Drosophila melanogaster: one gene and its partners. The protein of the gene in region 3 interacts with the protein of the main gene of each other region in a biochemical or structural test. Each region holds a gene or a part of one and is shown on either strand. Other genes may lie near its edges. The genes, in order: GNBP3, Hayan, PPO1 and Sp7.

The links.
Region 1: the proteins of PPO1 (region 3) and GNBP3 form a complex in vitro, tested with the Drosophila melanogaster proteins (one study listed by BioGRID).
Region 2: of the proteins of PPO1 (region 3) and Hayan, one has a biochemical effect on the other in vitro, tested with the Drosophila melanogaster proteins (one study listed by BioGRID).
Region 4: of the proteins of PPO1 (region 3) and Sp7, one has a biochemical effect on the other in vitro, tested with the Drosophila melanogaster proteins (one study listed by BioGRID).

Annotation. Positions count from the first base shown.
Region 1 is NT_037436.4:8,953,146-8,957,083, forward strand, and holds GNBP3 (Gram-negative bacteria binding protein 3), read left to right. Parts: upstream 1-1,875; 5' UTR 1,876-1,880; coding exon 1,881-3,353; 3' UTR 3,354-3,406; downstream 3,407-3,938. Other genes in the region: mRpL12 (mitochondrial ribosomal protein L12), read left to right, coding at 3,802-3,938. UniProt on the Drosophila melanogaster protein: Involved in the recognition of invading microorganisms. Binds specifically to beta-1,3-glucan and activates the phenoloxidase cascade.
Region 2 is NC_004354.4:18,479,435-18,485,389, forward strand, and holds Hayan (hayan), read right to left. Parts: upstream 4,339-5,955; 5' UTR 4,007-4,338; intron 3,210-4,006; 5' UTR 3,203-3,209; coding exon 3,121-3,202; intron 3,056-3,120; coding exon 2,875-3,055; intron 2,700-2,874; coding exon 1,923-2,699; intron 1,795-1,922; coding exon 1,727-1,794; intron 1,699-1,726; exon of another isoform or gene 1,632-1,698; coding exon 1,360-1,631; exon of another isoform or gene 1,295-1,359; coding exon 1,108-1,294; exon of another isoform or gene 1,051-1,107; coding exon 704-1,050; 3' UTR 549-703; downstream 1-548. Other genes in the region: psh (persephone), read right to left, coding at 5,215-5,561, 5,620-5,803, 5,862-5,955. UniProt on the Drosophila melanogaster protein: Serine protease which, by converting prophenoloxidase 1 (PPO1) into its active form, plays an essential role in the melanization immune response to physical or septic wounding.
Region 3 is NT_033778.4:17,886,685-17,891,828, forward strand, and holds PPO1 (prophenoloxidase 1), read right to left. Parts: upstream 3,290-5,144; 5' UTR 3,217-3,289; coding exon 2,861-3,216; intron 2,804-2,860; coding exon 2,668-2,803; intron 2,599-2,667; coding exon 2,104-2,598; intron 2,030-2,103; coding exon 1,396-2,029; intron 1,239-1,395; coding exon 986-1,238; intron 927-985; coding exon 728-926; 3' UTR 536-727; downstream 1-535.
Region 4 is NT_033777.3:7,757,769-7,763,934, reverse strand, and holds Sp7 (serine protease 7), read right to left. Parts: upstream 4,150-6,166; 5' UTR 4,012-4,149; intron 3,199-4,011; 5' UTR 2,749-3,198; coding exon 2,661-2,748; intron 1,929-2,660; coding exon 1,542-1,928; intron 1,479-1,541; coding exon 1,370-1,478; intron 1,301-1,369; coding exon 1,014-1,300; intron 901-1,013; coding exon 596-900; 3' UTR 509-595; downstream 1-508. Other genes in the region: CG10919 (uncharacterized protein), read right to left, coding at 4,321-4,456, 5,186-5,308, 5,361-5,665. UniProt on the Drosophila melanogaster protein: Serine protease that, by cleaving and activating prophenoloxidase (PPO1) after immune challenge, plays an essential role in the melanization immune response to septic wounding.

The DNA of each region.
Region 1 (3,938 bases), on a different chromosome or scaffold from region 3:
AAATTTAAGAAGAGCGCCCTGACGCGTTGTTTTCTTTCCTGATTTTCCCGAGCTGCGGTCCCTTCCGCTCGTCAGCAACGACTGTGATGCCAAAAGTTTTCACTGCTGCCCGCTTTTCCACGAAGCTGCCACTCGCCCGAAGACGCACGACGAAAAATCAATCATTCTCGCTTGTTTTGCTTTCGTGCGATGCACTGTAGGCTTAATGGTACCTTTTTGTGGCCAAAATTAATAACTTTAAATCGGAGAGATATTTTGTTTATGTTATTTGCATTGGGTGACACTAGCCCATATCTTTTATAGTACCAAAAATTCTGGTCGTGGCACCGCCCCTTATATTAAATTAACTCGTTTTTTTATTGAGATTTCTCTATTTTCAGTTTAAATCTCAAGTTAAACATAAGTTTTTGTTTCAGCTAATATACCTAAAAGCGCTATTTACAACACTCAATTACAGAATGGAGTTTTGGCCACAAAAAGGTACCATTCAGCCTATAGTGCGTTGTTTGGAACCCCTTCTGCCATAACAAACCATCCAACGAGCCAATCGATTTATCGATAACTTTACATGTCACTCGTAATTAGCAAGGAAAATAAATAATGGCCCCAATGTTGTAATAATTAAGCTAAGCACAGCAATTATGTGTAATTCAGCCCTATAGAAAATTATATAAAGCGCTATGTTGTCTGGCAACGCCACAGCTGTTTTCATAGCGCAGAAACAACAACAAAGACTGGTCAAAAAGAGCACACACACAAGTGAATTACATAAATCTGCATTACTTACAATAACAAAACAGCTCCAACGATCCAAATGGATATTTGTTTATATCCGCGTTCTTTTGGCAGCAGCACAAACGCACACAACCACGCACATTCAACGACACACGCGCTGCGAATTTGTTATTGTCTTATTGTGTTCTCCTCTTTCTGTTGCGTTTCGCGTTTGGCCAAATCTTTCAAATAATTGCACAAAAACACTGACGAACAACATGCGAAACCACAAAATATACGTGTACGCTGTGTCCTTCTCGCTAATTAAATATTTTACAAAAATATGTTCATGTTTTTGTTTTTTCCCGTGTGTGATATTTTCTACAAATTTTTCTATCGAGAGAACGAAAGCTAATAAGACAAGGAAACGGACGAGACTCAGAATTTCATCGAAATTCGTCGCCTGCTACACGGCGAAGCTTATTATTTCAGAATAGAAGTATTGTTTAAATATTTACCTAATGGCAACAATGGAAACTATTAACAAAAAAATTTAATCTTTCACTGATATGCCCTTATGCCCTTATTACTACAGCGATATACCGCAAGCAAAGTTATCGATATACCACAATACCACAAACAGCTGACACGTTAGAGTTGGGCAACTTCGCTGTTTATTAAGCGGGCTTTTTAAAATCTCTAAAATCATCTTTAATAGAAGGTTGTACATTTTGTCCGTATGTTCTTCTTTATTCTTACTCATACTTCTAAAAGCTTACTCTCAATGGCTGTGATTGGGTAAATCCCAAATTCTTCTTGTGGGAGTGTTGTCGCTCTTCTCTAAACATTGGCAAAAAAATCTCAAATAAATATTACACTTAGAAAATACTACCATTAAAGATATTTATATATAAAAACACCAAAATTATTGTATTTTACTTTTTATTTTCTTGATTAAATCGCCCATTGTTATTTTTAGCTACGATGGCACATACTTGCTTCAACATAGGCTTTAGACTTTAGAATCTGCGATAGCACTTTACGGTGTGTACTTTTTTGCAGTGCACCTTTAACAAACAAGCCTCGACCGGTTCTTGATAAGATTCTCAGATTTTCAAGTCCGAGTTGTCTGACCGCTCATCGCAGTTTTAATTGGTATTCCCACAATGGCGGATGCATTGCGCTTTGTGGCCTGGAGCTGCTGCCTCCAACTGCTGTTCCTGCTCCTTGGCGTTCAGGGGTATGAAGTACCCAAGGCTAAGATCGATGTTTTCTATCCCAAGGGATTCGAGGTCTCAATTCCCGATGAGGAGGGCATCACCCTGTTCGCCTTCCATGGCAAACTAAATGAGGAGATGGAGGGCCTGGAGGCTGGCACCTGGGCACGGGACATTGTCAAAGCGAAAAACGGACGCTGGACCTTCCGGGACCGGATTACGGCTCTAAAGCCTGGCGACACCCTGTACTACTGGACATACGTTATCTACAACGGACTGGGTTATCGCGAAGACGACGGGTCGTTTGTGGTCAATGGGTACAGTGGTAATAATGCCTCACCACATCCACCTGTGGTTCCAGTCTCCACAACGCCCTGGACTCCACCTGCCGATCCGGATATCGACATAAGGTTGGGTTGTACTACTCCCAAAACCGAGGTCAATGGAGCACCCACTCGCTGTGCCGGGCAGCTGGTGTTCGTGGATGAGTTCAATGCTGCAAAGCTGGATCCCAATAAGTGGAAAGCGGAACGCAGGTTTTCCGGTCAACCCGACTACGAGTTTAATGTGTACGTGGATGACGCTCCGGAAACCTTGTGCTTAGCCAATGGTCATGTGGTGCTCTCGACGAACACAATGAAAAAACAATTCAAGAAGGGTTCGGGTGAAAGTTTGGATCTGGGTGAAAAGTGTACGGGACAAGCGAATACCCACGACTGTGTAAGAAATGGGCGAACCCTAAATGACGGACTTCCGCCAATGGTCACCGCTCAGTTCTCCTCCAAGGATTTCTCCTTCAAGTATGGTCGCGTGGAGGTGCGAGCCAAAATGCCGCGGGCACAGTGGGTGACTCCACAAATCTGGCTGCAGCCCAGGCGTCCGATCTACGGAGTGGATGATTATCGGTCGGGACAGCTGAGAATCGCTTATACCCGTCCGAATGGAGGTAATCTGGATTTGTATGGCGCCGCCGTGCTCTTTGCAGATGAGCCGCTGCGATCGGTCAAGAATTGCCTGAAGCCAGGTACTGGAAATAACTCCGAGGACTGGAGCGATAGTTTCCACAATTACACCCTCGAATGGACACCCAGGGAACTTCGCTGGCTGGTGGACGGCAAGGAGTGGTGTGTCCAGGGAAGTGCTAAAGGGTCTTTCAGCGAGACGACTGCCGCCGGAAAGAGTTTACCGCAGGCCCAGAAACTGGAGGAGGGCACTGGACTGGCACCCTTCGATCAGGAGTTCTACTTGACCTTCGGACTCAGCGTGGGCGGTTTTAACGAGTACCAGCACGAGATCAAACCCTGGAACGAGAGGGCGCCGCAGGCGCAGAAAGCCTTTTGGAAGGAAGTCAAGAAGATCAGGGACCACTGGCTGGACGAGGGCCACATGAAGATCGACTACGTAAAGGTGTACTCTTTGTAAACTCTGTAATCGAATTACAAGCATAGGAAATAAAACAAATATAATTAACATTTATACAATACATTTTATACATTTACATCTAAAATTATGCTAGAAAATGGAAGAACTTTCTTAAATGAAAATCAAGTTCAAAGGTTCTTACCTGTTTATTTTTTAAATAAATTTCCATGCAAAACAAGCAAAAACAAGCAAAAAACAATTGTAAATTAAATTATTTATTTAGCGGTATTTAAACGTTACTTTTCCAACCATATGGTTTTATTTAAGCATGGCACTGCCGTTCAACCAAATATGTTGAATGCAGCCCTGGCTGTTTATCGATAAACTGCTCACATAACCTGCTGCTGCGGCCCAAAGAATTTATTTTGTCACCCGAAAACCGTAAGTAAATGGATATTAAATGATAGTTGAACGCTTTTCTAACTTAAGACTTGCAGATACCAATAAGATGCACATCACACGCCTCGCCCTTCGCCAGATTTCGCGCCAAGTGCAGCTGCATCGCATGTACAGTGCAGCGGCTCCGGCCGCCGCAGTCTCGGGTGCGGAAAAACTGGTGCCTCCCGCGCCGGAAGGAGCCGCCAA
Region 2 (5,955 bases), on a different chromosome or scaffold from region 3:
GGCAAACCGACAGCTTCGCAGTCTCGCGACCAACTGAAGCCCGAGGAGTCCTGGCAGCGCCATTTAAGCAGCTCCCACTTTTGCTGCCCGCAGGAGTGCGGCCTTGTGGGGAGAGCGGGGGCTGGTTTGCTGCGAGCGGACGGGGCCAGTGGGTCGGTGGGTGGTGGGTGGTGGGTGGTGTTTGGCTGGCTGTTTGGCCGCAGTAAGCCGGCAGCACTTTGTAACGGCGGCGAACAGCTGACTGCAAAAGCTCAGTAAGCAGCTTTTGTCGCAACTTTCGAATGCCACACCTGGCAATGCCGCGCGCAGCGAGCTTTTGCGCTCTCAGTTCTGTTTACGTACGAGCGGGTGAGGCGCAGACAGCGATAGTTTGACAGCTGTCCCGAAACCAGGGCTGCTGCAAAACGTCAGTGGGTAAAGTGCTTGGCACTTATGATACCTCTTAGTTGCCTCAGATGTTTGAATTTCTATTACACTATTATACTACACTATTATACTACACTATTATACTACACTATTATATAAAATAAAATCGATTCTAACATTTTGAGGAACTGAATGAACAACCCTTATGGCTTCTTTAATGACACTCACTGAATTGTGTCGAACTTTGTCTAAAGACAAAATACCTTTATCAAACACTTTTGATGGGAAACACCATCCGATCCGTTCAAACTAAATTTATTGCAGATCAAATGACGCCTCAGAAACGATTCGACGGCCACACGATACCCTCGATATAGTCGAGAAAGGAGGAGACGCGTGTGTAGAGGCCCGGGGTCTTGGTGGCGCAGCCGAAGCCCGAGGAGATTACGCCTACGATCGAGTAGGTGCCGTCGACGTCGTCAATCTCCAGGATGAGAGGTCCACCGGAATCGCCCTGACAGGCGTCCTTTCGCTGATTCTTGTCCGCCGCGCACAGCTGCGAGGCAATCACGCCCCTTCTCAACGTCCGGTTGGCACTCGGCTGTTCCGCAAAGGATGCATTGCACTCGTCGGCCGGCACCAGATCCAGAGCCGCCCGCAGCAGGATCTTTGATACGGCACGATCTGTAAAGACACCATCGAACACAATCCAATCCTGCAGTTTACGCACACACAACTTACTGGTCACATTCATTACACCCCAACCGGCGACGAAATATTTGTAGTTCGCTGGCGGATCACTGCGATCCGTGTAGAGACAGGCGGGACGGATGACATCGGACTCCTTGGCATCCTCGGCCAGCTGCAGAATGGCGATATCGTAGTACTTACTACTGCCGGAATAGTCCGGATGAATTTGAACATCAATCTGCCAATGGAAGTGAGTGAGTTCAACTGGTTATCTCGCACCATGTGTCACATGGCGATACCAACCACATTGATGTCCTGGTAGCCCGGCTCGGGATTTTCGATGTTCAACGCACCCAGACGGACGAAACTGGGTGTGCTATCGTCACTATTGACGCAGTGAGCCGCTGTGAGGACGAATCGACTGGCGATGAGCGATCCACCACATCGGAACGCTGCGCTCCCGAAGGAGTTGTACGCAATGGCCGCCATGTGGGGATAGACGCCCCTATCCACCCGTTCGCCGTCCAGAATGTGCACCGTCAGGGGCTTTCCACCGGATCGGATCTTCTCACACGCTATCATCAGATGATAGGAAATTTAATATATATTGTATATAATATATCTCCAAAGATATTTTCATATAAAATATTCCAAAGAATGCGCAACTCACCTGCCACCGACGGTCGCTCCTTCTCGGGAAGATTGACGCGGGAGGGATTGGGATTGGGCGTCGTTGGCCTGCGAAAGACAAGGTATATCAGCGATTAAAATTGGGCTCACGATGGTTTCCACCTGAGACAGAGACTGCATGCGGCTCCCTGGCTGAGGCCAACTGATGTCCATGCCAAAAGAATGCTCAGACAAACCGCGTCTCGGCTGGATTGAAGATGCTGGGAGCTGGATCCGCGTCTAGATTATTGCTGACATCGTTCCAGGGTTCCTGGGGCTGGGTATCCTTGTCTCTGTCCTGGCCCCGAAATCGGTAGGGTTCAAAGGGATCGATCAATTGCGTGGGCGTGGGTGCGGGTGTGGGCGTGGGCGTGGTTTGCAACACCATGGGCACTTCTCGAGCAGGCTCAATCTGCATTCCCTGCTCCCGCAGCCGATCGTTGACCAAATGTATGAGGTTGTTATTATTGGGGCTTGGATTGGTATTGAAATTGGAATTATTCGGTCTTTGGGGTCGTGATCGAGGCGTGGTCAGTGGACGGTTCACAATCCGTGGCTCACGGCCCCACTCCGGTTCCATAAAAGATCTCTGGGTGCTTGCAATGGGTTGAGTCTTCGAAGGAGCTATGCCCCAAGCTCCAACGCTTTGGATGGGCAACTTCATGGGTTCGTGTGTGGGCAACTTCATTGACTCGTGAGTGGGCATCTTCATGGACTCGTGAGTGGGCGTCTTCATCGACTCCTGTGTGGGCAACTTCAAGGACTCGTGGGTTTTCTGCGGCTTTACTGTGGTGCTTAGCAGCTTGTTGAAGTCAAAGAAGTTCTGATTCTCGTCCAGCCGACTTTCCCGCTCCCTTTTCCCCTCGGTGGTCGTTGGAGGCAGTGGCTCCGGTTCTGGTGTTGGTTCCCGCTTGGGTTCGGGTAAACTGCTGCGCTCGGAGCTCGTAGCATGGAATTGGACCTCACGACCTCGACTGTGGGAGTGAGAGGTGTTAGTCTGGCGTTGGACGCCGGTAACCGGGGCATGCAACATCGGTGGGCACACAGCACAAGCGGGACACACACAAACACATATATATGGTGCACAAACAGGAGGACAAAAAACAGGACAATAGAGCGCAGAGGCCAAGGAGACAAGGACACGCTTACTCAGTGGCACAGCAGGCGACGGTGGGGCAGCAGATGATCTCCTCGCGGGCGCCAAAACCACAACTCGGCACCTGGCTGGTGGACAGCGTGCCCGACTTCAAATATCCTCTGATGTTCTCGCAGGCTGAGGAGGAGAGGCAGATTCCCGGTATGTCCGACCTCACCTGGCAGGGATCGCCCTCTGCAACGAGAAATGCGGCCAGCTGGCAAGGATCTAGTGTACGCGCCGCAAGACATCCTACATACCATCCCCAACTGTTACATACGCAGAAGTTGTCAGCACCAGGAGACCCAGAAGGAAGTACCTTCTCGCCGAGATCATCGCCATCGGTCAGCTGAAATTCCCAAAAGCATTAGTGAATCCCATTCTACTTGGTAACGCTTATCAGCCTTATCAAAACCGAAAATGGAAAACATCATTTTCACAACAGGGGAAGCCCTCGTCGAAATGGTAAGGGAAAAACAAACGAGATCTGTTTCTTTCAATCGACTCGACTTTCAGCTGATTAAACCGATCCACATCCACTGCCATTGACCCATTTACGATTTTTTTTTTTTTTTAATATGGGAACACCACAAAAGCATTCTCCATATGAACTGCTCGATTGTAGTAAGCCAGACTTGATTGATTTCATTTGAGAGACTTTGTGTTGATGGAAAGTTTGTGTTTGCCGATTACGACGAGCATTTCACCAGCAGCGCCGCCAGGTGAGATCAGATGATTCATGGGAGGCATGCCGCTGGGATTTTACCACCGGCTAAAGACGTGTACTGCCAACTGATATCGCAGCTACGTCGGTAATAACCGATACGAAAGTAACACCTGACAATTATGCTGCTCAATTGAGCAGAGAGTCGTCAATGTGTCTGCAGTTCAACTGAATCATATATATCCGATTGAAGCAATGCAAAAGTGTCATGACATCACCTGTTATCGGCCCAAATGAAATTGTATTAAATAGGTATGCGATTGCTAATCAGCTTCCGGCCTTCCGCAGTAATTGCCCATTGTAAACACGACGAAATCAAAAGTAGAACATGCAATACATAGCCCCACATCCCCACATCCCGCAATCCCAATGTCCATTGTCCACTGTTCACTGTACACCGACGTCCGCCTTATCGAACGCACCTTTGACACGACCTTTTTTCGGTCTCTGATAAGGGAGTAGTACGTCTACGTATCGATGTCGTTTATTGAGTGCGTCGAGCACTGTGGTGACTATGGCAATCGGGCACCGCACAATACAATACAATTTAATTCAATACCACATAAACAAAACAAAATCCAAGGGAATTACGAAAAAAAAAAATAAAAAATAAAGAAAAAAACACCGCAAAAAGCACACCAGCAGAGTCAATAAAGCTAAAAACCGGTGGCTATCACAAATCGCGGCGGTATGGAATCTGCTGGCTATTTTCCCGGCTCTGACCGCTCAGCAACGCATCGCCCAAGCAACTGAAGCCAAGCTTCTGAGCCCCAGCTGGAGCTGGAGCTGGAACCGATGAGGCCCATTTAGACGTCGACCAAGAAGCGCCGGACCCAGCAGCTGATAGCACCCAGAGCCGATCCTCTCCCGCTGAGCGGCGAACCGGTTTCCCATTCCACCACTTCGCAGAATCGCAGAACGATCCGAAGCGATCAGAAGCCAGAGCACACAAAGCACAAAGGCAGCCTGTAATTAGCGAGTGGGTAAGCAACAGGCGAGCGGTATGGACTAAAGGATACCGCGTAAGGTCTATGCTGCGCTTGGTGACCCCGATATTTACACCTTTAAAAGTCGAGTATAATTGTGTCACAGAATCGTGTTTTAGAACTTACCATATATATAGTTTCAATTGCAGTAATCTTGTTTTTTTTTTTTTTGTATAATTCTTCTCTAATTAAAGTGGTGACCCAGATACTTACTTTCTTGCCTAGGTTGCGACCTAGGTGGTGACCCAAGAAGTCCTTTTCAACTTATAGTCTGAAACATATGCTTAAAATTTAAATTTCTTATGACAAATCTTTCTGAAATAAATGCATTCTGTTTGTATTTCCCCATTTTTTTTATACAGTGCAGCAATTCAATAAAAGTGGTGACCCAGAAATCCCTCTAAAATTAAACAGAACCAGAAAAATCACTTCACAGAGTTCTGGAAACCGAACTGCCAGAAATAATATTGTACCGATTGATTATATCTTAAAACGTATCTACTTTATTGGTATTAAATGGTTCGATCGCGGTGCTCATAGAGATCACAGATGAGTGTTTGCCAATTGCGATGGATCAGGCAGTCCTGATCCCAAATAGAAATAATATACATACAAAAAAAACAAAAACTTTACTTTTCCCAACTTTACACCCGATTGTCCGGCCAGACAATGCCCTCGATAAAGTCCAGATAGGACGAGACACGCGTATAGAGTCCCGGTGTGACGGTGGCGCATCCGAATCCCGACGAGATGACGCCCATGATGGTGTACATGCCGTCCTCCACGTTGAGCTCATGAATGAGCGGCCCACCGGAGTCGCCCTTGCATGCGTCGGCGATGAGCTTTTGATCAATGGCGCACAGCAACGAATCGATCACGCCCTGCTTGAGCAACCTTATGGAACCGGGCTGCTCCGCATAGGATATATTGCATTGGTCCAGAGGCACCAGCTCCAGACCAGCGCGCAACAGGATCTTAGATCGCGCCCGAGCTGCGGATGGTTAGCCATTAGTGGAAGTGGAGGATATGGAACTTTTTGTGCTACCCACTGGTTACATTTAGGACGCCCCAACCGGCGACAAAGAACTTGGAGTTCGATGGCGGATCGGTGGCATCCGTATGGAGACAAGCGGGCCGGATGTTATCCGTCTCGACGACATCACGTTCCAGTTCCAAAATGGCGATATCGTTGTACTTATTGCCCACATACTGCGGATGGATCTTAACGCTTCGCTGAGATATGGTATCGATCAGAATGGCTATAACTTAATGCATAAGCACAGTGACTCACTATGACGATATCCTGGTAGGAATGGTCTGGATTTTCAATGTTCACAGCTCCCAAGCGAACAAAGGCCGGCGTATTGGCATCGGTGTTGACACAA
Region 3 (5,144 bases):
CCAAAAATTAATAAACGCAACACGTGCAGCGATTTTGTTGGCTGTTTTGCGAGGATGTTTTTTCTATTTTCCCTCAACACTTGGTGGGTGGATGGAACGCCAAGGCCTCCTGGACATGGGCAATCGCAAAGTTTGTCGAGCAAGGCGCTTTGAAGTCTAATAGGATTAGTTCGCACAAATGTGGGCGTGTCTGTCTATGACAAATAAACGCCCTTCTGCGGCTGTGTATCTGTATTTCTTTGCTATAAATAATATTCAATATTGCTAAGCAAATATTTGGCATGCGAATATTCCTAGACGAGGATTTCTTATATCAGTAAATATTTATCATATCCATGGCTGGCTTGCTTGAGGCCAACGAAAACGAGTAATCTCTGTTTTGCCTTGAAAAAGTAATAAATAAAAATCTGTAAAATTCTTTGGTCTCCCCGGGTGGTAAATTGGGACTATTAGATACATTATAAGCTTACCAAAAGTTTCTTGGCTAAAGCTATCTACCCACTGCATTCATTAGGTGTCAATACTCGCTTGTATTACTGCCTGCACATATTACAATACATTTATTTTTGTAGAGTGTAATTAGAAACGATAAAACACCACATAAACGCGCACAAGTTTGGTTAGTTATAAGTTAATAGCAAAAAGTGTATATGATTCCAAGAGTTTTCCGTTTTCAAGTCCGTTTCCATTGATTCTTAAAATCATCTCTGTTAGTTGGAGCAATCATCTAGGCCTTGTCAATCACACGATCATTGAAGACAATCCTTAAATCGGTCTTGGCCATGTTGCCAAAGGCACCGACCAATTCGGTGAGATTGGCATTGGGCAGGCGCCTATCGAAGGGATAGCCCATGGTGCGTCTGTCAGGATACAATTTGTCCTTCAGACCACAGAACGAGTACGCCGTGCTGCAGGCATCGTTGGGTCTAATGGGCGACAAGGAGAATGTCAGCTGATGATGGGAAATTGGGTTTATAGCACTCACGTTTTGGGCTGCTCAACGGAGTCCTGCGAGTAATCGGAAATCATGACGAACAGGTCGAAGACCATTCCCTGGGCATTGCCCTTGGGCAGCAGGAGATGCTGTGGCCACCCACATCCGCAAAACTTGAAGCGTGCCAACTCATCGGCGGCCTTGGGCTGATAGTCTGCTCCAACCGGGCGGAATGAGCGCTCGAAGGGAATGGCCACCGAGGACTCTGTCGACTGGCGGCGTATGGTGTTCTCACCAGGCACCACTGGGGATTAATTAAAGTATGTTAATAGATCGTAGGAGGTTGTCAGTAGGGAAAAGTATAAGCTAAAATCACTGGCTAGCTTTGTACGAAAGAAACACTTTTTAAATACCAAAATATTAAATAAATATATATACTAAGAAATACAGTTATTACTCACAATCAACTGTGAACTTGTCCATTTCGATGGCCAACAGTCGCTGCTCCTCCAGATTCAAAGCCTGATTACGCTCATCCACCTTGGGGCAGATGAAGATACGGCAAGTACCCGTTCGTCTGGCTCCATTATTGGTCACATTGAATGTATAAGTGAAGGGGGCATTCTGGAGATGGGTGAACGAGGCGAATATGTTGCGATCGGTCGTTGGTCCAAAGTCCAGGCCAGCTGCCAAGTCGGCACTCGACTTCTGCCAGTAGGTCAACAGGGTGTTGGCCTTGGTATTGGACTTGCCAATCTTGGCCTCAATGTAGTCCACGGTAATACCATCGAAGTTAAGCTCACCGGCATTGTACGGGTTCAGGCGAGTCTTGAATTTGTTGAACACCGTGTCGATGAATCCGTGCCACCTGTAGAAGATTGGATCCCTCATGGCCGTGGTCACATCGCCCATCACACCGAATTCCTCCAAGTGACGGTAATCGGGATCGTGGGCAAAGGAGATTATGTTGTGCCCCTCGTTGTGTAGATTGCCATAGAAATTATAGTTGATGGATAGGACTGGCGATGCCTCAATCATGTTGCCCAGGATATCGATGCCACGAACTTCGTCCAATGGTATACGATTGCCAGAAGACTATGGATTAGCAAATAAAAATTTCTAGTGCTTTCTATGACCTATGCTCAATATTCCAAACGGGCCCAACTCACATCTTCAACGTATCCTTGATCTATGGCAGCCAGCACGCGATCACGCCAGCGCTCCACATCGGAGATCTCCACACGCCCATCATGGCGGTCCACGTCCCTCAGCTTTTGGTTGGTCACTCGGGCGGGATAGGTGCGGTTATTCGTGCTGGACAGGATCTTGGGGAAGTAGCCCTCGGGAACCTCCACACGCAGATTGTTCAGCGGCTGAACCTTCTTCAGATTGTTGCAGAAGCGCTCCACATTGTAGCGCGCGAGTATCTGGTGGTGCATGTAGTAGAAGAGCTCGCCACGACGATCCTTGTTGACCACCTCCGTGGGTCCGGTGGTCGGGTAGACCAAGTGCCAGTGCCAATGATGGCTATTAACACCGATGTCCTCACGGAAGTACGCCAGGCGCTGTTCATCCTCGCGATCCGAGGCCGTGTAGTTTTGCGGAATGTCCACATGGACACGAGCGCCGCTCTCTCCAATAACAGAAGCTTCCTGACGGGCATCCTGTGGTCAAATTTATAAATACACCATTAAAGACTTTGATTGGTCAAATAAAGAAGAACTTAAACGAACCCGGAAGGCGGAAGGTTCTACAAAGTTGCTCGGAAAGATCTGGGAAATGTTGGTAATGGGCACTTCACGCGTATCCGGGCGATGGGCAACGGCGACGGCATAGGCGTATTGGAACAACACAGGATTCACACGATCCCTAAAAAATTAATACATTATACAATACATATATATTTATTTTAGTACAAGTACTTACTTGGTGTAAACGGAAAGCGACACGAATTGTCTGAGATTTGGTGCGCTCATGAAGAGGGTGATCAGCTCGCTGGCGATCTCACGATGGCGATTGTTAAACAGCGAAAATTGATTCTTGAGACCAATCTTTTTGGTGAACTCCAGACTGGGAACGTTGCTCAACTCCTGAATTGGGATCTTCAGATCCACGTCCTTAGAGAATCGATTGCCCACCTCCTCGGTGTCATTGCGATAGCGATCCGTATAGAAGGAATCGGGCAGTTCCAATACAGTTTTTCCGGAGTCACGAGTGGTGAATGCCGGTTCCAGGGGTCGCTGGAACATAAGTTCCAAGGCTTTCAGATCCGTGTTAGTCATGGTTTTCTCTATGGATGTACACTTTCAACTACACTTTTAACTTCACTCAACGAAGCCAGTTGCAGAACTGTGATTTTCCCAGGAAGCCGAACTCATTTTATAGCTAACTAGCAGTCCGAATATAAAAATAATATTTTTAAAAATATTCATTATCAAGTCCCAACCGCAAAACTGCAATGGTCGAGCCTTTTTTCTCACAAATCCAAACGTTGTGGTTTAGTCGATAGCTTCTGAAAAAGCAAAAAGTGCAATACCGCAAAAGTTGTTGAGCCGCAAAATGATAAGAGAAATACTTTTAATTGCTTGCATAAAATAATATACCATTGTTGATTTTCAGTTGAATGTTGTTAAACGTGAAACTGTATTGAGCTTGTTAGATACATATACTGATTTTTTTTCAATACTGCACTGCCTAATGTATACCCACAACCAATTAATTGTTTTCAACTTTTTGAAGAGTTATTAGTTCCGGGGTAGGAAGCTTAAATTGAATTTCTTTGTCTTTGCCGAAAAAGTATCCGAGAAACCTTTTTGCGACCACGCGAAATACAACTCCCAAAGTAAACAAGCCGAAGGCCACCGGAAAAGCTTCTTATTCGCATAGAAATAACACCGAATACTTGCTCAACAGGCTGCCACGCCCCCTTAAAAAGAACCGCCCATCGCCGAATGGGAGGCCATAAATTTGGCTTGGAGCAGAGGGCTCGTCCTTCGACATGGCCCATAAATTTGGTTTTTGAAATGGCAGTGTGTAGCTGAATGTAACTAAGAACTAACTGGCAAGAGAGCTTGGATGATTAAAATATCTATACTGTAAATCAATTTTTGTCGCTACGCCGTCTGGCCAAATGAACGATGTTGGCCAAAAAGCAAAGCGAATGGCCAAACTTTTGGCCATTGTCAATAATAAATGTTTCTGCCGACTTTGGCGTTGAAATGTGTGCGCATTAATCTGTGAAATTGACAGCAACAAAAACGAGCGTAACAAGTTTGCATAAATGTGCGGGTTTCGGGCGAAAATTGAAAAGATGAATTTTCACAATTTCTGCACTCTGGCCATAACAACATGAAAATGACTTTTCTGCTCGACTTTGTTTTGCTAATGTCGATGTTCCAGCAGATACACCATCTTTTCAGTTTATGAACTATGTACGGTAAGCAATGTAAGCCAAATTTGACTACCATCAATTGAATTTTTGTTTGAAATAACTTAGGCAAGAATATTTTATACGATTTTTTGTAGATTCTTTTAAACCATGCATACCACTTATGTATGTAATATAGTAATATATTGCAGAGTATATTGAAGTTGGCTTTTCCTAGAAAACACTTGACTGCACGCAAACATTTATCCGAGCAATGTAATTTTTCATTGAATATTCAACGACAGCCATGGCAAATGTGCTCCAGATTCCAGCCCAAAAGACAAACTTGCTTTAATTAATTATAAATTGTGGAAAAGTGTGTGCTTCTGCGAACTTGGCAGTGTGAATTGAATTAGAATGAAAATGGGCCAAAGCAAAAGCTTTAGGCCAGGACACGTGCAGAGCCTGCTTTCACCGGCGAAACAGAACAAAAAAAAAGGAAAAAACCCAAACTTTTACCAACAAGTCTTAAAAACCACGCAAGTTTGTAAAAGGCGCCAAGCACTCTTTCTGTTTGGCTTTATGGGCGAAAGTCTGGTCCATAAAATGAGCTGTGGGTATGCGTTAATTACCCGCTGGCTTAAATTTTACATTTTGGCTTAAGCACTCTGCGGCCAGGTTCGAAAACACATGATGCCTCCGCCCCAAAGAACATTCCAAACTATTCATTAGTTGTGGGCCAACCGCAGGAATTTGCGGCAGTGTGTTATCAAAATTTCGAGTGGGCTACGCTTTCAATTGTTTGCCCACTTGGGCACCAAACTGATTAAAGTTTCATGGCTC
Region 4 (6,166 bases), on a different chromosome or scaffold from region 3:
TTCCTTTGCGATCCTCGTTTACTTCTTGCGCTTGTATTTGGATCCGCATTAAAAAGCTGTTATGTGGACTCTGTAAATTTGGTAAAGAAACCCAAGCCCTTTGTCCGTGCTAACCGGTTCCTGCAGGCATCATTAACCTTTCCGCGTGCACACAATTAATGAGCCTAGCCATTGTCTACTTCGTTTTCCAGCCTAGCCACGCCTTCAGTGCAATCAGCCAGCAAACAAGTGAAAACTTTGCGGATGGAGCGCCGGAAGCTCTGAAAAGCACTGCTTCCATAATAGAAATTCATTGCCAAATTGCATAGAAAATAGCTGGGGGCGCTAAGAAGGTGCCTCTGGGCAAGTTGGCCCGCATCTTGAAAGTTATTCCACTGAACTCTCACCATCCCATCCCAGTGGGGAACAGCGATTTTAATTACCGCAAACGGCGCTAGACTGTAAGCGCATTAAGTATACGCAGCGTGGTAAGTGCAGCTGATAAAATCACATTGAATGCAAGTTAATTAAAGGATGGGCGCCCAGCCCAAAGAGCACTCTCGACTTGACTTTAATTAAAACATTATCAGAACAAAAGCGGCCTTCGTTCCGCTGCTCAGGGACGAATGGTCTCCACGATCCAGTCCATGTAGTCGGCTACCCGAGTGTAGACACCTGGCCAACCCTCTAGTCCGCAGCGGTTGCCAAAGGAGACCACGCCCTCCTGGTACCAAGCCTGGTCAAAACCCCTTCGCATCAGCGGTCCGCCGGAGTCGCCATCACAGCTGTCGCGGTAGAATTCCCCGCCAACACAGAGCTGGGAACTGATCAGGTGGATATTCCTCGTGGCGAACTTTCGTGCGCAGTAATCGTGGTCATTCACCGGCAGATCCAATCGCTGCTTTATGGTGCTCTTGCGGGCTATAGAATAAGAATTTGAATCAATTAGTTATGAAATTATAGATTCTTCTTGGTCAAGAGCTTCAATTGATATCTTTAGAATGAATATAAGTATCTTTAATATCCAAACTCACCTGTTGTGGTTCGGCCCCACCCGCTGACCACCAAGAGCTCCCCGGTATTGATTGCCATTCGTGTGCTTACCAAAGGCAAACAAACCGGCTGAATATACTCATTAAGCACAACGGGCCGATCTAATCGCAATAAGGCAATGTCGTGAATGCGGTTCTTGTTGGCAGGATCATATTGGGGATGTACAGTGGCCTGTTCGATGCCCAATTGTAGGATGGGCTGGTTGCAAATGTCATCTATGCAGTCCACGTCCTTGCTGGTATCGTATTCCCCCAACCGAACGGTAGTTCTGTATAGGGGCACAACTCATTTAGTTATTTAAAAACGTGGATAAACATCAAACCACGTAAATACTTACAGGTGACCTACTTCCGTTTCCACCGCACCAATGACGCAATGGGCGGCGGTAAGAACGTAACGATTGTTGATCAAACTGCCACCGCAACTGAGTTCCCGCCGTCCCCTGTCTATCAACATGGATAAAGATGCGTTAACTAAAGTTACATGATTTTATATAAGATGTCACTTACTATCCACGTACTCAAGCAGTGCCATCCAGTTGAACTCGTCAATAGCAGTGTCGTTGCCATTATAGACCTTATTGCTGAAGGAGTGGGGCCCGCACTTGGGTGGCGAGGGCAGCAGGTTGCCCAGACCCGCTTGACCGTCTTGACCTCGTGAACTTGAACTGGTAGTCGTTGGAGGAGGGGCTGCGGAGGTGGCCTCCTGGGATCCAAAGCTGCGATCACTTGTACAGCAAACATATGGCTGGCGACCTACTCCATCGAGGCACTGTGAGTTTCGAAGAAAGGTTCTGTCCTCCGGGCTGACATAAGACTGCTGAATCACGGAAAGCAGACTTTGACAGTCGTATATGGACAAACATTGTCCCTGTTTCTGGTTGGGATTCCTACAACCTACACATAACAATTAAAGACACAAGTAGGAAGATCAGTTACTCCTGTCAAAATGAGTTAAGAGTGGTATAAAACATGAAGGCAACTTGGGAAATTTTGAATTCGGAAATCAACCTGCTGATAAAGCTATTTAAATTAAATATAAATATTTATTTAATTTAAATAAATTAAGCAATAATACTATCAATCAGCACGTCGTTGAATTAAAACAAAACACTTAAGTCAAAAACGACTTCATTAAACATTTTAATTCGCTTGATTATGCTATCAATAATTGTAGTCAATATTAGTGACCTAATTTTGCAGCTTAATTAATTTCAAATTATAAAAATCCTATTAAGAATTTGGTTTATGTTTAATAAACATTTAAATTGCACTTATACGTTATTTCAATTATGTTTCGTTTTTGAGAACACAAGCATTAAGAACGATATTTAAAATTGTCAGGAGTTGCTACTTGATAATAAAAAATACGATTAATTTTTTGACATCAATCAAATCCCTTGATAATGTAATATGTTGTTTGACGAGTGGTCCCATAAAATTTATTGAGGAGAATGAAAGAATACACGAGTGCGCTCAATTAAGTCATTGACATGGGAAATTTGTTCAAGTTCAAGTCTGATAACCGCATTGAATTCTGTTAAGCTATTGCGCTTAACACGGATAAGTACCGGTCTCAATTAATGAGTCAGCTCTGAGTGAATCACATATTTATAGCTCGGTACTTACTTCCTTGTGCCGCAACATTTTGTAGAACGGTGAAAGGCAGCAGGCAGGTGGCCAAAAAAATCCCAACTACTTTGCGTGTTGATTTCATCTTCTGGGATATTTCCCACCAATTTTAATAAGAAATTTCACAGCTTATTTAATAAGAACGCGTCTTTGCGATTACGCGCGTCGACCTCGAACCAGAGAACCGTGAAGAGCGAAATTAAACTACGAACGCCTTCGATACGCAGAGACAACTGATCGCGAATTAACGGGCGAGAGACTTTTTAAATGCGATCGCAGATGATAATCGATTCGTCGTTGAGAGATACTGTCCCAGAGAGGCCGTGAGTAAAGCTTTCAAGCCCATCAAGAGACTTGAGCCGAGCTTATCACAACTAAGAAAGAGATCTTTTGAAAAGCTTTGGTACTCGGATTTTGATGCTTTCTCCCTAGAGTGTACAGATCCTATATACAGGTAGACCTCACTAAGCACGTACTTCTTACAGATCAAAACATTTTTAGATTATTTTTTGCTGGACCCAAAAACAGCCTCGCTCTGAAAATATTATGTTTAAATGTATATATTTTGTACGTAGTGAAATGTATTCAAAAATATTCAAAAATTTGCTTTGTAAGTCGATCCTCAACAGTGATCCAGCCCGATGAACAATGTCTTCATATGTAAAATTCCTAAATACTCATCCACTTAGATTTGTAGCTTTGCAAACTCTATTTGGCTTCTGAAATTTCTCACAACATGGATTCTTTTTCTCCTTTGGTCATGGAAGGGCGAGATACCTCAAGTCACAACAGGCGTTACCCATATTGAAATGTACTTCTGCAACGCTTCACAGGAGACGAATCGAGCTACATCTTTGCTGGATTCGTGTCGTGAACAGATTGCAAGTAGTAGAGACTTCTCGACCCATTGGTAGGCACTAACTAGTTTGTTGACACGATCGATGAATTATTGCACAGAGATGCGGTTTTGGCCGGCTGGATCAAGATGTTTGAAATTTCGGTAGGTCTTCTTAAAAGATACATGTCAACTCCTATTTTGCCGTGCTACACTTCGATGATTTCTTGCTACTGATTATCTGTATTTGTTGTTGCATTTTACCTTTTTCATATCATCCTGCAATTTCCGGTTGTTATGTCACATATAATAGTCTGTGTTCACTAAATAGCTTCACTATTTGCGTTGTTAAGTGCCTTCGTGATTTTGAGTTCCTATTTCAACACCCTCCTTAATGCGCACATGTTTACAAGTGGCATCAAAATTTAACATTTTTGCACAGTCTTCATGTTTTTTATTCAAAAGGCTTTTGGTTAAGATCAGACAGCATTTTATTTTTGCACTCATACCTACCAAAACTTGATCATATTTTACAACCTTTACAAAGTTAAGGAAGCGTGTATTAATCTGGAATCTGAAAAAACTTCGTTTGATATATTTTTTTTATTGCTTATCACGTTTTTGTTAATCACGCCATTTTTAGTAACGTTGCCGTACTAAATGACTTTAAAGTATATATAAAAAATACTGAAATACTGTGAGGGCTTCCGATAATTATTATATTCCCAGAACGATATTGTTTTCATCAACACTTTTGTTGCTTTTATTATTTTATATATTTTTTTTTTAAATTATAAAATTTTATATATTAAAACTTAAAGACTAAGAAAAGTTGGTCGCCATTATTTTGTTATAGCGCTTCTGCTCTTGAGGGTTAAGCTTGCAAAAGTCCAATTCGAAAATCTTGAGCTCTTTTCTTGTGTGCAGCGGCGGCCAAAGTGTGGTATAGGCCATGGTTCTGTAAGAAAATCAAAAGGGAAATAAGTAAAGTAATTTGAAAAGTTGGTATTTACGGTTTCTAATGATTGTCAATTGAAGATGATATGGCTCAAAAGAAATGAAAAACTTTGAAAAACTTTTTAGTATTTTGAATTCAAAATCTTTAGTTTTATCAATTATTAGTGACTGAGGCTAAAGAATATGTTTTTGATCTATTCTTTTCAAAACTATTTTAGCTAAACACAATACATTAAAAACTTTGACGAAAAAATTGTGACGAAACGCACAATGAACGTCTTCTTTTCTATTAACAACAATAACAAAATAGAGAACGGTATACTCGATTTCCCCGACTAACAGATACTTGTTACTCAGCTAGTGGGAGAGCTAGGGATAAATTCCAACACTTTCTTGACAGCATTGTCAAAAACAATATAGAAATACAAGCAAATAAAATCTATTGAAGTGACCCATGAAGAAAAGCTTGAACTGAGAACATTACTTGGGAGTCGAACAATGAACCGATTTCTATTGGAAGCAGGTTCTAATCCTTTTATCTTTATTTATAACTAAAAATAGCGAAATAAAAATGATAGTGAGGACTAAATTAAAAGAGAACTAATACGAATAGTGGCTGATCAATTAAGGGTTTGCCTAAGGCGTGCTTTAATCAAATGAGTATTGGATTGTTACTTTTCAAACCTATTACCTATTATTAAGCGTAACTAAATCTAGATTTTCAGCTTACCTTACGAATTGCCAAGCCTCCTGCGCCGTGGACTGGTTGTCGATCAGAAGTTTGATTTCCCGCTTGAACTGATCGGCGTACTCCCGCTTGGAATTGTGGTAACGTTCCAGACAACGTATCTGACTAATGAAATAAGAAGTATTTTGACCGTAACAAGTTTGGCTGGAAATCTTACAGGGGTATGCGGTGTTTAGAGAATGTGGGCTCGTGCACGGGATCCCGGTCGTCATCGAATACGGTTTGATAAATAGGCACGTACTCCTCCACGGGATCATCAACGTAGTTATTGTTAACATATTGTGCGTCAGCCTTGTGGCGCCTATACATGGCTGCAAACGCGTTCCGCTGCTCATCGCTCATACGAAAAATGCTTCCCATTACCGAGGCATAGAAGGACTTCATTCCCATGCTCATCCTCTTGTCGCCCATGAGCTTCCTCTTTTCCATAATCTGGGTTTTTCTTTCACTGGCGGCTTCCATTTTGGATGTTGTATTGAAGTGCCGGGTATTACGTGTATGAGTTATTATTTTGAATACTTCTGTGGAATTTGTGAATATATTTTTTGGTTAAGGTCTAAATAAATGTTATAGATGATAGTTAAAGCAGTGATTGTTTACACTTTCATAATTTTGATAAAAGCCAAAACTGGCATTTTTTTAGTTCAAGATGACATTAACATTTGATGATTAAGTTGCTCAGCATAAAGTTTTTGTTTTCTTAATTAGGAATGGTGACGAACTTCGTTTTGTTCGGCTTTTTTATTGGCTATATGTTTTTTTTACATGAATATGTTTCTATCTGTTTTTTTTTTTTTTTGAAAAATCTGATTGTATGTAATTTTTGGTTTACGTTGAAATGATTATTATTGGTTTATTCATCAACATAAACATGCCAAACTAATATGCCGTCAATTTGCTCTTGTTATCTTTTCTGTAAAATAAAATCGGCTTACTAACAAAGGGTATTAAACGTTTACGTCA